Linked DNA regions of Drosophila melanogaster. The protein of the gene in region 3 interacts with the protein of the main gene of each other region in a pairwise test. Each region holds a gene or a part of one and is shown on either strand. Other genes may lie near its edges.

The links.
Region 1: the proteins of Lime (region 3) and CG18599 interact in a two-hybrid assay, tested with the Drosophila melanogaster proteins (one large-scale study listed by BioGRID).
Region 2: the proteins of Lime (region 3) and prg interact in a two-hybrid assay, tested with the Drosophila melanogaster proteins (one large-scale study listed by BioGRID).

What each region holds. Positions count from the first base shown.
Region 1 is NT_033777.3:18,265,918-18,271,672, reverse strand, and holds CG18599 (uncharacterized protein), read right to left. Parts: upstream 3,885-5,755; 5' UTR 3,609-3,884; intron 2,189-3,608; 5' UTR 2,117-2,188; coding exon 1,198-2,116; intron 1,081-1,197; coding exon 572-1,080; 3' UTR 501-571; downstream 1-500. Other genes in the region: Vps39 (vacuolar protein sorting 39), read left to right, coding at 1-293.
Region 2 is NT_033779.5:8,462,509-8,467,194, forward strand, and holds prg (piragua), read left to right. Parts: upstream 1-1,979; 5' UTR 1,980-2,101; coding exon 2,102-2,266; intron 2,267-2,324; coding exon 2,325-3,836; 3' UTR 3,837-4,186; downstream 4,187-4,686. UniProt on the Drosophila melanogaster protein: May be involved in transcriptional regulation. The function of this protein is unclear.
Region 3 is NT_033778.4:9,869,604-9,874,267, forward strand, and holds Lime (linking immunity and metabolism), read left to right. Parts: upstream 1-1,866; 5' UTR 1,867-2,146; coding exon 2,147-3,576; intron 3,577-3,638; coding exon 3,639-3,672; 3' UTR 3,673-4,043; downstream 4,044-4,664.

The DNA.
Region 1 (5,755 bases), on a different chromosome or scaffold from region 3:
ATGACATGCCCATGCCCCAGCTGGAGAAATACTTGGAGAAATCTATACGTAAAATGATGGCCGACAAGCACGAGATGCAGATGATGTGCGGCTTCCTGGAGGCAGAGTCCACGCGCCTGGAGAATGCCTTGGAGGAGCAGCGAAACATTAGCTTCGAGTTAAACGAGTCTAGTGTGTGTTCCGAGTGCAAGAAGCGTTTTCAAACCCAGTCCGCCTTCGTGCGCTATCCAAATGGGCACATCGTGCACCTATCCTGCCACGATCGGCTCGCCAGGGCGGCTGCTCAGCAATAAGTGAAATACTCCAATGTGATAACTGATCAAGGTATAAAGTGCGAATTGAGTGTAAATGTCTGTATTATTCTGTTTTTAAATAAGCTTTTTCAGTACTCGTATGTAATGGATATACTGCAATGCTTATACAATATAATATAGTTTGCATTGATTGATTGTAACAATCAACTTGCAGCTAATCATCAACAATTAAAGACAAGCAGAAGTATAGAAAACCGATATTGTACATATTTATTTGACTATATTTACAGGAAACTTGCTTTGCACTGGCGTGGTTTTTAGGCCTCCTCGCTGCCGTCCATGAGGCTGTCGCCGTCCAGGGAATCGTTACAGATGGACAAATCCGACTCGGACTGCGCTCGACTCAACGGCGGTAATGCGCCCGAAAGCGACAGCGAGTGCTTGCTATCCTCGTTGTCCTCCTCCTGCAGGCTGGGCGAGGCTGCACTGCATCCGTTTGTGCGTTCCGTGGACACAGAATGGGCCGCATTGGCCGACACGGATACTTGATTGCCCAATAACGATGTACCTGGCAGTTGAGTTTGCCTTATCAATGCCAGCCGTTGTTGTGTCAGTTCCAAGTGGTGCTTGCGCCACTTGATCCGCCTATTCTGGAACCACACCTTCACCTGAGCCTCCGTTAACTTTAGGGTGTGTGCCAAGTAGAGCCGCTCCGGGCCGACCATGTACTGCTGGCGCTCGAACTCCGCCTCCAGGCACTCCAACTGCTCCGGCGTGAAGATTGTCCGGACGCGCTTGTTCTTCAGTGCGCTCTTCTTGTGAGAATCTGCCGAATCACAAAATGATGATCAAATGGAGGTATTAGATGTGCACACACTATGTTTACTTAATACCCACTTATGATCAAATCATGGGTTATTCATCGACTGAAACACCTGCTTACCCGACTTGAGTTTTTCCCGCTGAAAGCTCAGGGTGGCCTGCTGCTGAGCGTGGTGTTGCTGGTGGAGCTGCTGCAGGCTCTGCAGGGCGGAGGGAGCTGCTCCGACGGCGGCGGCAACCGCTGCAAATCCCGCCTGGTGCGGATGCGGATGCTGGTGTCCGCCGTGCAGGTAACGTCCATTACCGGCGACACTATCACAATTGAAGTTGTTTACACTCGGGCTGCTGTTGTTGTTGCCACTGTTGCTGCCGCCGTTATTGTTGTTGTTGTTGTTGTTGTTGGGGTTGCTCGTGTAGCACTTGTTGTTGTCGTCACCGATGATGTTGTTGTTGTCGTGCAGGGAGAGATTGATGGCATTGTTGTAGTCCTTGCGCTGGCTCTGCAGGCCCAAAATGGCGGCGATGGTAAAGGACTTGCCCACGTCGAGGGAGGAATGCGCCGCTGCCGCCTCGATGAGCTGCGCGTGCGACGTCGCAGTGGCTGCCGCCGCCGCCAACTGTTCCCGGTGGTTGCTGTTGCTGTTGTGGCTGCTGCTGTTGCTGCTGCTACTGCTGTTGTTGTTGTTGTTGCCGGTGGTGGGTGTCGGTGGGTGTGGGTGGTGGCCATCCTGGTGGTGGGTGTGCAGCTGCTGATGATGATGATGTTGCTGCTGCTGCTGCTGCTGCTGCAACTGATGATGCTGCTGCTGGTGCTCCATTTGGTATGAACTCTGACCCGCCGAGACAGCGACCGCCGCTGCTGCAGCCGCTGCCAGCGCTGCATGATGCGGTTGACCATGTGCATGAATGCCCCCACCCAAACCTCCAAGTCCGGCGACCGACGATCCCCCGCCGCTGCCGCCGCCACTGGCTTGTGTGTTATGCAATGCCAGGAAGTGCGACAAGGGATTTGCGTGATATTTGGAAGGATTCTGCAGCATGCTTAGGTATTTGCCACTGTCTCCGAGTTGTCGTCCGCCTTCTGCCGCTGGCCTCCGGGATTCTCGGTCGCTCTGCAAATGGGAGAAATGCCTCTGTTTAATTGTTGCTCTGCTGTGGAGCTTCTGTGGCTGCCAGGTGTCAACGACTCCCCGATTAAATCCACAATTAAGTGAAATGTGATCGCTGGCTGAAGAAGTTGCTCTACCATGAAGTGCTTGGTCAGCTCAGCTAAGTGGTGGGAGATGGAACAATGGAACTACAACTGGTTGGGACGGACCTTTTGATGACTTTCCCTACACAATGACAATTTTGGAACTGAAGTATTACTAACTTAATATAAGTAGAAACAACAGTATCTAAGGTTAACAATACCAATATTTCTAGTTTACAATCGTCTATAAACATGGTCCTATCAAATTAGATATTAAAATAAGAACAATATCTTTAATTATAAGAAGTAAATTTTCTTTTAAAGGATCTTTAATATTTTTAATCAACAGAGGAATCTGCAACTTTTGCATATAAGTTAGAATTATAACTCTATATTTCAATGTTAAAATGGATCCTTTTTGTACATTATTTCTGGCATTCATTACAAGGGTTAAAATTTTATAATATCAGCTTATGTAGAATAATTTTGAAAAGTGTATAATTTGCTTAATGCCAGCTTCTCTCGCTCGCATGCATTGTGTTTGCCCAGGTAAGCCAAACCTGAATCGTTTTGTGGCAATGTGATAGCCTAATTGAGACTTTGTCACAGTTGCTGCTTCATTGTGGCAGATGTAGTTGCTCTCCCAGGTGAAGCACCATCCCAAGTCCTCAGCACTGTTGTCGCTCATTGTTTGTGCTTTAGGCCAAATATGCGAATGTCTCAAGCTGCATTTAAGCTGATTTGACTAAATATGCGAGGCTAATGTCGTGTGCGGGCCAAATGAGCTTCATTAGGAGAATGCCATTTGGGTGTAACAAGTGGATTTCACACACATTCCGGCTGTGAATTTCTAGCTACATTAATTGTGGAGCTTAGATCCTGAGAGAAAAGCTAGTATGTTATCCTATTTTGTATCTTTCTAATCACTCATGTTCATTTATCAGTCTTTGTTCAATTTGAAAAAAATTAATAACGATAAGAAACTTGTAAAAACATATAAGCACTTTAAATCAAATTTAAGCTATCATCTGAGCTATCATAAATATGATTTTGTATTGAAAATTTTAGGTATTTATCTTATTGAAACATACAGATTTTAGCTGAATGATAAATTTTTAGAGAATCCGTTATAAAATTTTAAGCATTGAATGCATTTTAAAATATTGGGCATAATAAATTATACATTATTGCTATGTTTACAAGCTCAACGCTGGTAAATCTCAAATAATTCTTTTAATGGCATATCCAAAATCAGAAATCTTTTTTAGTAATCTTGAATTAAAAAGCCGACGGAACTCGATTTGGGCCAAAAATTCTTATAAATTGCAAAAGTTACAAACCTTCTAAACCAATGAAGTTCTAATTACATTGATTTCAATTGCAGATGTAATCAACTCAAAAGATAATCCAAGCGTGAGTTAATCAGTTTTCAGTACTTTCACTATTATTTTCACGAACACAGTTTTCAATCTGAAAAATTTGCTTTTCCGACGGCACTGCAAAAAGTGTTGCCTACAGTTCTGCGCCCAACGGCAGTAACGGAAATCGAATAGAAAATCGAGCGGAAGTTTAACTGCCGGAAACACATGCGAACGCGAACGTGTTGCAAACTGAACTGAACTAAAAGTTCGTGGCCGTAAAATTTTTACATTATCGGCAGCGAACGCCGGCAGCGAAGCTGGCAGCGCTGCTTTCTGTTTGCTGCGGTGCGCTTGTTTGTGTCTGTGTGCGGGTGAGTGATTCTTTTTGTGGGTGTGCGTGAGTTGCCGTTGTGATTTTTCTATCCGCTTTTCCTTTGGCTTTTTTTTGCTCTCAACCAGGGTTGTCAAAACTTTCACTAATAGTATTCATTAACTAGTAATTAAGTGCTTTGAACTTTGTTCGTTTTCATGAATACATTTAATTTTTTGTGCTAACGAAAACAGAATTAAATTTAAATGAAAAATTGTTTTAAATAATCTTGGTATCTTGGTTTTTGACACAATTATGTACATACCTAATTTTTTATAATTAAATTTGTTACAATTATTTGTACCTTAATTTAGTTTAAATCTATTATGTTCCTAAGCATTTGAACGATTAAAGTGTACATTTAGAAAGTCTCTCTATTATACATTCATATATATGATATTTTAAAACATATTGGTACAACACATCCGAAAGATATAGATTTATTATTTGTCTTTTAAAAGCAATATCTTCAAAACAGCAAAGCGTTAAAATCTCCTTTTTAGACTTTCGCCCATGACTTTGTTTTGCTACAGTTGACAACCCTGCACTCAGCTTAGATCAGAGCCATTGAAAGAGCCAACAAAGGAAAGAAGGAGATGAGATGTAGCTGAGGCATAAAAACATCGTCAACCGAAGCCTCATCATCATCATCGTCATCATAATCATCGTTGATAGTCATCGTCATTATTCAGGAGCATCCACCAGGCAGTTACATAAAAAGGAATCACCCACCAAAGGGAGCAATCCACCACCAGCCACCCGAGCCACCCACCTATCAGAGCAACCCTGCCCACACACCCATTGGTAAACACCCGTTTCCCTTCCGAGGGCGAGTGTATAAAAAGTTATTGAAATTATGATATAAATGGATAATTGGCTCACTGGTAGCGTCTCCCTCGCTCATGGCAAATGGGCGGTACCTAAGCAGTCGGAAAATATTGCGGGACAATATGGCGACGCTGGATTATTAATATTTTGTGAATAGGTGGAAAAGCCACTGGGGCAGGGCTATGTGGGGATAGACATAATTAATGAAGCAATAAGCTAAGAAATTACATCGTAGATACATCATAAGTATAAATATCTAAATTTGGACAGGTAAAATCGACAAAACAACGCACATTAATAATTTGTTTTAAATCTTAATTTAGTTAAATTTTCACTGTATACAACATGATATTCAATGTCGAAGTGCAATTCAGAGTCGAATTACCTTTAGATTTAGTATTTCAGTTTACGACTTATCAGTAAATAAACTTTGTCAATTTCATTTTATGGTCCTTTTTGGCCGATGTTAGTAGTATTAAGTCTTGGAAACGTTTTTGGCCCAAATCCCCAAACTAAGTTGGCAATACGAACTATCTACAGCCGCAGGTCAACCCCAAACCCAACCCCAATTAGCCGTCCCCTTGGCTCCACCCTTTTGCCTGCCAAACGGGTGTTCAATTTACCGTTTGATAAACTACCCGGAATGCCAACGATCATTACGAGCCAGCGAAACTGGCGGAAACGGAAATGGAAAGACGAAGGAGGCCCCAATTAGCGGCCCATCAAAGTAAATCAATGCAAGAGCACGTGGAGCGGGCAGACAAGGAAAATGCCAAAAAAGAACAAAGCAAATGGCGAGTTTACACACAAAAAAATAAAACAAATGTAATCCGTTAGCTTTGAAGAAACTTTAAATGTATGTACATAAAATATAGTAAAAGTAGTAGATGATTTTTCACTGCAAGAATTTGCTTGCTATGCAGTTGCA
Region 2 (4,686 bases), on a different chromosome or scaffold from region 3:
GACCTAGCTTGAGTCACGGCACCGATTCATTTGATCTGCTGATTGGACTTTCCTCATCGAATGATCATTGCCGAGCACTTAATTGCCGAGTGGAATGTTTAGGACAGCAATCTTCAGTTGTTTTTCATTGTACACAAAATTGGAAGTCACTCTCATGTGGCCGGCAAATGGCATGTTCCCTATGTTTAGGGGTAATTGTATGCAAGTGTAAATATTAAGTTAGCAGAAGTCTCGTAGGGTAAGGATATTTACTAATTCGGTGTGGTGATATCATATAGATTTGCTTCTAGGGACTTTAATCAGACCATTAAGCTCGAATGCAATCTTTGCGCTTATTTCACTTAAGCAATTATATTTTATCTTTATGTTCAAACTTTTTAGGGCAGATAGTGCATACGCTAGAGTGCTTTCGTTCTACTCACTACTAACTCACTACAAATCACTACCTAAATAGGCTAATAGACGCATTTTAAAGACCCCAATTTCGGTAAATTCATGAAATTATAAATTCTCTTTTTTATAGTCCTATTTATGAATTATAAATGCACAAATTCATTTTCATACGCGCAACGGCAACTGTGAAAAGTGAGGAATCCCAATAACCAAAAATTAACAGGGACTTGGTGGCAGAAAATTTAACACTCATGAGAACTACAGGGTGCGAGGGCAAAGCTTGGGTTAACAGGATGATAGGTACACAGAAAAAAAAAACTATTCCATTGAAATTTGCGATCATCATTCATACGGTGTTTATGTTTTTGGAGTAGTTGATTCAAAATTGTAAAAAAAAAACCCTGTGTTTCCTTTAGCAATGTGGTCCAATCAGTTCATCATTTTATGCATATAATCTAAATAATAAAATTGAACCTGATTACACATCAAAATCAAATTTCTCTCCGTGCATCGGGGGAGAGAACAATAAATGTACACGGGGTTGCTGTTGCTTTTATTCCTTAAGGACGGGAATAACACACTAACCGCATGGGAGAGAAAAGAAGTGGAAGAGGGGAGGTGGGTAGGGAAAAGGAGCGAAAGAAGGAGAAGCGGCAGGAGCATAATAAAGACAAAAAGTACGTGGGTGGAAAACAACAAATACAGCCCAAATTGTATAAACTCACGGAACAGTTATTTCCCTCTATGGGTGGAAAATTGTTGCTGCTAATTCCCTTGCTGCTGTTGTTGTTGTTGTTGTTGCCGCTGCTGCGTAGGCGTAACAGTTGTTTTGCCGATGTGTGTGTGTGTGTTCTAGTATAATTTGCAGCATCTGCAGTGCAATAAATTCCACTAAACGAACATTAGCCACTTTCAATAGAACCAAAAATCTCACTGCAATTAAGCAATAACCGCGCAAGCAATCAATCCCGATTAGTTAAAGGAATATACGCGCGTACGCACAGATTTTTAAACAATCATCCGCTTTCGCCGAAAGAGTGCCGGCACTCGAAAAATACCTCCGCTTTAATCAAGAGTCCGCGGGCAATTGAAAAAGCTCTCGCTTCGCGTGTTCACGGCGTGTACCTACATAGGTACGCATCAATTAGGTACCTGCCGCCCACTGCTTTAATCGTAAGTGCATTTCTGATTTAAAAGTGTGACACGAGCCTTATAAGTCTTATAATTTATATTTTATGCAAACAGCTTTACAAATTTTTAATGTGTAGAAAGAAACTGCGTTTTATTGAATTTGAGCATCATCAAACTTCAACCCCAAAGAATTACACATAAGTAGTTTCGTTTTTGCTACCAAAGATGCTGACGTTTATTTTGCGTATTAGATATGGCTTTGTTACAATTTTAGTAAAAGTATTTTAAAATGGAAAGGTACAAATCTGAACTTTAATAAAACACAAAATTGTTTAATTTAAAAACTTCAAATATTCAAAAATTCCTATAATTCAATTAAGTAACCCACTGTGCAGCGGCTTATCGATTTCCTCCGACAATCGATTGGACCATGTTGTTTAATTTCGCGACATATCGATACTATCGTGGTAGATTGGCCATTGACCAACGCGTTTTATTTGCTACCGGTGTGGCTTTTGTTTGCTTAAACAATTGGATAATTTATTGCAATCCCGGCTTAAATGCATATGATTGAAGAATGCATACATCGGATATCAGCATGACCCAGGATCAGGATGTGAGCACTTGTCGCCTGTGCCACCATAATACGGATCCCAACTCGCTAAACATTTTCGATGACACCGTGCAGTTTTGCAAGGATGTGTCCATTGCAGAGGTTTCCAAGAGTCTCTGGAGCGTTCAGGTGAGTGGGCCATTTATAATCCATGGAAAAAGTGCATGAATAACTTCTCCACCTACAGTACGATCGCAACGAATGTTTGTCGGAGCTCATTTGCTCAAGGTGTCTGGAGATCCTCGAAGAGGCATTCGAGCTGCGAAAAGGAATGCAGGAGCGGGAACAGTCCCTGCAGGAGCAGCTGAAGGAGATGATTAAAGATCATCCGAAGCACCGTCCAGGCCTGAATGGCAACCCCGGAGTATTCGTACCCGAGGAGGGCTGCATTATTGTGGAAGTTGATCCAGAGAATCTGGCAGAGAGCAGTGAAGAGGAATTCGCACTCGGCTCCGATGGGGAGTACGAAAACTATGACGACGATGATGAGGAGGAGGAGGAAGACTACGATGAGGAGGACGAGGAAGATGGCCAGAACGGCGAAGACGTCGACATGCCACTGGGCATGGATGCGGCCCAGATGGCGGCTCAACAGTCCGTTGCCAACAACGCCAACACCACGGAGGCACGGCCAAAACGAGCGTTCCTCTGTCAATACTGTGATCTTGGGTTCACTCTGCCCGCCGAGTGTCAAGAGCACGAGCTGGCTGCACACGATCCCAACGCACCGTACTGCTGCAACTTTTGCAACATCAAGCTGGTTACCCGGCCTGCTTTGATTTCGCACATAAAGACACTGCATGATCCGGACCGTCCGTATGTGTGTGCTCACTGTCGGAAGGGTTTTGTGCGCCGCTCCGATCTTAAAAAGCACACAATCGTGCACACTGGCGTGAGGCCCTTCACATGCAACGTTTGCTCCAAGAGTTTCTCGCGGAATACAAATCTGACCAAGCACATGCGCATTCATAGCGGTGTCAAGCCCTTTGTTTGCCAGCAGTGTCCGCGATCCTTCCAGACGGCTGTGGAAATGATGCGCCACACACGTTCGCACGGAGAGGTAAAGGCTTTCCAATGTGGACGCTGTCCCTACTCGTTTTCGCGCAGGGATAAGCTAATAGCCCACCAGCAAGTCCATACCAGGCGGGACATGGAGCAGCAGCAGCAAATGGGTCTAATTCCCCCGATGGAGGGTGATCTGCAGCAGCAGGCGTTGCAGGCTAAACAAAAGGCTGCCGCACAAACCAAAAACTCACGCTATTACCACTGTGATGTCTGCGATCGAACTTTCCAACGGGAGAGGGACCTGCAACGCCATCAAGCTCTTCACATGGACTCGCTGTTCGCCTGCAAGACATGTAATCAAGGTTTCAACCGACGCGAGCAACTGCAGCGCCATGAGCTAGAGGCTCATGGTCCCAGCTTTACGTGCGGAATCTGTTGCATTAGCTTCCTGCATCAAATTGAGCTGGAGAATCACCTCAAAGTCCATCAGTTGCAGCACAAGATGGCCCAGCGGGCTCAAGAGGCTGCTATTTTACCCCTAAAAATGGCCGAAAAGGCTCCAGTGGCTATGACGGCTCCGCTAGTTCAGGATCCCCAGCTAGTGCGTCCCTCGGCAGCGGAACTGTCGTTCTACAGCAACATGATTCCCACAATGAATCTGGGCTTCTACAGCGAGACTCGTCCCGAGGAATAGAACAACATATTTACATGTTTAATAAGCTTAGTTGATAGGTCGGAAAAGTTTTGTAGGTCAAGGCTGTTTTAGTCGTTCAGGTCAACATAGAATCCATTGGTGTTAATGAATCTGTATAGTTTAAGTCATCTGACTATTGTCTGCCAAAATGTAGCTTAGTGGTTTTTAATAAAAGGCCAAATCTGAAACGGTTTTCTTCGAGATCGTATGACTTTGTGAAGATATTATTTTTCATAAGATATTAAAGAAAGTTTTCTGCTCTATAAAAAACTTCTTAAAGTTAAGTTATGTTAAACCTATTTAAAGTAGGTTTACTTAATATATAAATAAAATATCAAGTAAGGTATTTGAACATTTTGTATTAGCAGTCGTCTCAGACCAACATGTTGCGTGCAACAAGTTGCACGTTGTCCGATACGAAGAAGGTCTTCTCCGAAATCTTCAGAGCAACTGCACCGCTGCAGATTCTTTCTTGAGTTCGCCCCGTACGGTAGTGCCTCTCGACCAGCGCTCTCGGATCTTGATCGCCTCGAAATCTCGTAATCGCCTCGAAGTGCGCGTAGTGAATTGTGCTGGTGCTGACAGTGTAACGTAACGTTTGATAGAATAATAAATAATAAGTATTGGAGTGGGAGATCCGCAAAGAAATGTGGCCAAGCTACCATAAATAAAGTGCGGATTTCAAACGAGACGATAAATCTATTCCCGAAACGGGCACGCAATCGAGGGAATACGAATCCACCTTACGGTTCGCTTGGTTTTGGTTAGGTTCAGGTTCCGCTGAGAGCGGTAAGTACGCAATTACCTTCGCCATTGCCAAGGGTCACTTCGCAGGCGATTTATGTGTATG
Region 3 (4,664 bases):
TCATTCTATTTCACATCGTCATTAGTTTTGATTTTGTAATGCAATATAAATTATTGTTCATGTTTTTCTTCAGGCCTCATAAAGCATTTAATAATATGATACGAGTTGTGAAGCGACATCCTTTAAGGAGACTTGGTGATCAGCTAAGTCGATATATGTATGTAGCAATGTCCGTTAATTTTGATACATATGTTTGATACATATTAATCTACAATTACTTGTGAAAAATAACTTTATAATGGTACCCTTTTATAAAAATTAAGGACTTTCCGGGTGGACGAACACATAACCAAACGTGTGTAGCTTTAGGTAGAGTACAGATCGAGCACGTTCGTGCGTGTTCGGTACTTCATGGACCACATGGACTAAAAAGATCTTCAGGTAAGCCATATATGTTAGGATATAAATAAAGTGAACCTTGGATATTAACACAAATGAATATATATACCTGGTACTTAAATCAAAATGTTCGATAAAAAGGATATACCCAAGATATACAGAAACTGTTTACACACTGTGAAATAAGTTGAATTTTTGACTTTAAAGCTAAAAATTAAAGGTTTTTTGCTTAATTAAACGCAATTTTTTTTATAAAATATAATTAAACAATATTTATTTTACTTATAAATCAAAAAACAAATTAAAAATATTAAATATACAAGAAAATAAACAACAAATTCCAAGTTTACATACTTTTGAGACTGTCACACTATAAACTTGTGCGTACACTTAATGAGTTCAATTCGGGTGTTTGAATCTAACTGACTCGCTGCTGCGAGGGCTTCGCCTTTTATTCATTCTTACATAGGTTCTTATCAACCAATTATATAATGCAGCGCTTGTAAGACGCCGCAGTCTACGTTGGTAAATGCATCTGAGTTTTATTCTTAAATCTATGTTTGAGACCTATCTCTTGACACTTCGGCAATGGGCCGCTGCAACCGTACTTATCTGTAGTTGCCACTTATGCTGTCCAGTGACATGTTTATTCCAGCCCATAAATAGGACATATTTATAGTTTGCCTTCTTATCATGTCTAAACACATATTTAAACAACATATGTACATATTTTTAACAATGCAAGTCCGTGCTCCACAAGAAACGGGTATACCATATCCTTTTTCATCTCTTTTATAATTTCTGGCGTAAATACATATGTACATACATACGTATTTAAGAAATGTTCTTGTTCTTTTCTATTGGTGTCCTTTTATTGTACCTACGTTCCCATAACTCGAAGTGGGCATCATAAAACCGTTGAACACTAATGACAATTTAAAAAATATTAAAGGCTTATCAGTAAAAAGGCTTATCAGTACTATTCTAAGCACTTTAAAACGATTGAAGGAACTGTGAATGCCTGCCATAAGATGGTGCAAAAATAAAATGCTTTTTTGTTTAGCCTTATCTCAAATAAGTCTAGCTGTTATTCTGATTCTTAAACGTACTTCTAAACAAACGAGAAGACAGCGTAGATCGCATAAATAGAATGTGTTCACACATGAACACGAATATATTTAAAGACTTACAATTTTGGGCTCCGTTCATATCTTATGTAAATGAATCGAGAGCGATAAATTATATTTAGGATTTTGTTATCTAAGGCGACATGGGTGCATTGCTCAAAAACATGTAATTTAAGTGCACACTACATGAGTCAGTCACTTGAGATCGTTCCCCGCCTCCTAAAATAGTCCCTTAGTGGGAGACCACAGATAAGGTCCTCGCCGCTCAAGATAGGCAGATGTGCCCGAGCGTGGGACCTCGATAAGGCGGGGACTATTTACTTAGGCCTCTGCGTAGGCCATTTACTTTAAGATGCGATTCTCATGTCACCTATTTAAACCGAAGATATTTCCAAATAAAATCAGTTTCTTACAAAAACTCAACGAGTAAAGTCTTCTTATTTGGGATTTTACAGAATGCGATCGCCTTTTCTTCTTTTAGTCCGCAGAGAAACGTCGAGCTGCGCAGTTGTGAGCTGGGCGTTGGAACTTTATATTTTATTTACACATATGTATATATGCATATGTACTTAGATCGAGTGTAACTGTTAAAAAGCATGGCCGGCCACCCTAGTGAATTTAACGTGAAAGCGATCCTACAGAACAGTTGTTATTTATAATTCCACCAACCGAAGAGTGTCATGGACGCTGAAAGTGATAGCGATGTGGAGATCATAGAGACGGAACTCATGAACCATCATCACCACCATCGCCAGACGGAACCAAAGAGGCATCCCGCAAAGATGTACCCGCAAATTCCATCCGCCATACCCTCCCCACCATTTTCACCCACTGATCCTACGGATATGCCGCTGGTCAAGGAGATTCTGGCTCGCAGTGAACATATAAATGTTCCCGAAGGAACCGTGCTCTGTGTTCCGTGCTACCTGTGCAAACAGCCCTTCAATGATATTGAATCCTTCAAGGAGCACCTCACCCAACATGCGGCGGAAATTAACGCCTGGAATAACACGCGTGCGCAGGAGCAGACACCTCCGCCGACGATAACACCCTTTGTTCAGTCCATGAATAAACCATTCGTGCATCCCACAGATCAGCACTTATTTCATTCCATTGATCATGGTGACATGGATCACCATCACAATGCCCACTACCGCAATCGGATGGAGTTTGGCTGTCCGCCACCCATGGATTTTTACTCACCGCCGCTCGAACCAGAAATTCCATTTCAAATGCCTGCGGTTCATCAACATCCGATTCAGATACCACCCATGTATATGACCGCTCAGCATACGGCTTATGAGCCACCAGTGCAGTTTTTAGGTCATCGGCCACTCGAACTGCGCCAAAAACTTCCAATGTCACCGCAATCTCCTCTGGAGCCTTCTGGTCATCCAATGGCAAGCGCGATTCCAAGTAACCAACATACTTCGCTTGAAATGCAAAACCTTTGTGTGCCGGAAGGAATTCTCACAAGGGTGGAGGAACCACCGGTCTTGGAAAATCCCCGACCCCAAGCACAAGATCCGATTCAGGATGCGGGTGCAGGGAAGTCCCGATCGGCGGTTCTGATCGAACCCAAGCCCCCAAATGCCAAATCCTTGGCTTTCAATCAAGGTCAGTTCGAGTGCAATTGGTGCGGAAAGCGATTGAGCTCCCGCCAGTCGCTGAAATACCACGAGAGCCACTTCCACGGGAATAAAGAGCTGGCTGTGAATCGGTTAGAGAAGAATTTGACCAAGCAGCATAAGTGCCTCACATGCAAGAAACGCTACAAGCGGCGGACCTTCCTCCTGATGCACATGAAGGTCAAACACGGGATTGCTTTCCCGGGCAGAGTAAATGCTGATCCCGAATATCCAAAATCTGTAGATTCGCCTGTATCCGCGAAGGTTCCTGTCTCCCCAATGTCGTCGCCGAACGAGGCACCGAAAAAGGAGATATGGAGCACACGAATATTCAACGCTGTGGCGGCAGCAAAGTATCAACCGGCCAGCGAGCGGGCGGACAAGTATCTGGTTGCGCCACGTCAGCAAACCGAGCAGTTGGAATCGGGTTTTACGATCACGTCCAAACGGACATATCCACTTCGTTCGCCCTACTTCAATCCGTATGTTCAGATAGTTTTCATCATCGTCATACAACACCTCTGAATTTTCGACTGTTTTTTAGGGATCTATGGCTGGACTGCGATTCATACTTATAGGTTGAACTTGGCTGGATTTTAAGAAGCTTGGGGTATCAAATATTCGAGCTAATAAGATAGCCAATAGCGCCCTTGTTATTTTTACTTATAAAATATCACTTCGTTTCATGGAGCTTCTGACTATGTACGATGTACATACATAATAGCATGGATACATATCGCACTCGCAAGCGATTTATTCTGTAGCCTCAGCACTTTGGATCTGGATCTCGACGTCGAAGTCCCAAAGCCCCAAACTTCTTGTCATAATAAAGAAACTAAAAACGCTGAGCATTGCAATACATTTTAAGCACTCGGACGCTCAAATTCGTCCGTTTCTGTCATAAGTTTTGTACATAAAATGGAAATAAAGAAACGCCCAAGCAAAACCCATAAAAACTGTGATTTTTTATTTTTTACTAAGTGTCCTTCAGTCCCTTAAAAATGGAGGCTCTTCGCAGTGGGTATTCTCCGGTTACCCGAAGTACCTAAAGTGGAAAGCCGACCCCCCGTTTATATTTTGCTGATAGTCCCTTTAAGAGCAAAAGATATTTGACGTACACATGTTTTTTGCATCGAGTTAAAATATAACAATTTTCTCAGCAGGCCAGAGATCTAAATAATAAAGAATTTGGATGTATGTGTAAACATATTATTCACTTATCCATATTCTTTTTCATCTTTATCATATTTGTCCTAACTATAAATGCGTTATAATTTATAACATATCATTCTAACCCGAAACATTTACTATTTTTGTAATATTAGTACTTGCAGTACGAAAGGCATTTTTCGTTCTTTAAAATATTTCAAACGGGTCATAATCCGCTGTTTATTTAAATTAAGAAATATATTATTTTAAAACAACTTGTTAAATAATTTTAAATAATAATTTATAAATAAAGTAATAAGGGAACATAATGCTTAAGTACGCCTTTTATTTCCAGTTTCTCGGCTGAGCAACGCGAACGTTATCAGAAAATTGAGCTTAGAACCTACACAAATTTGTTTGT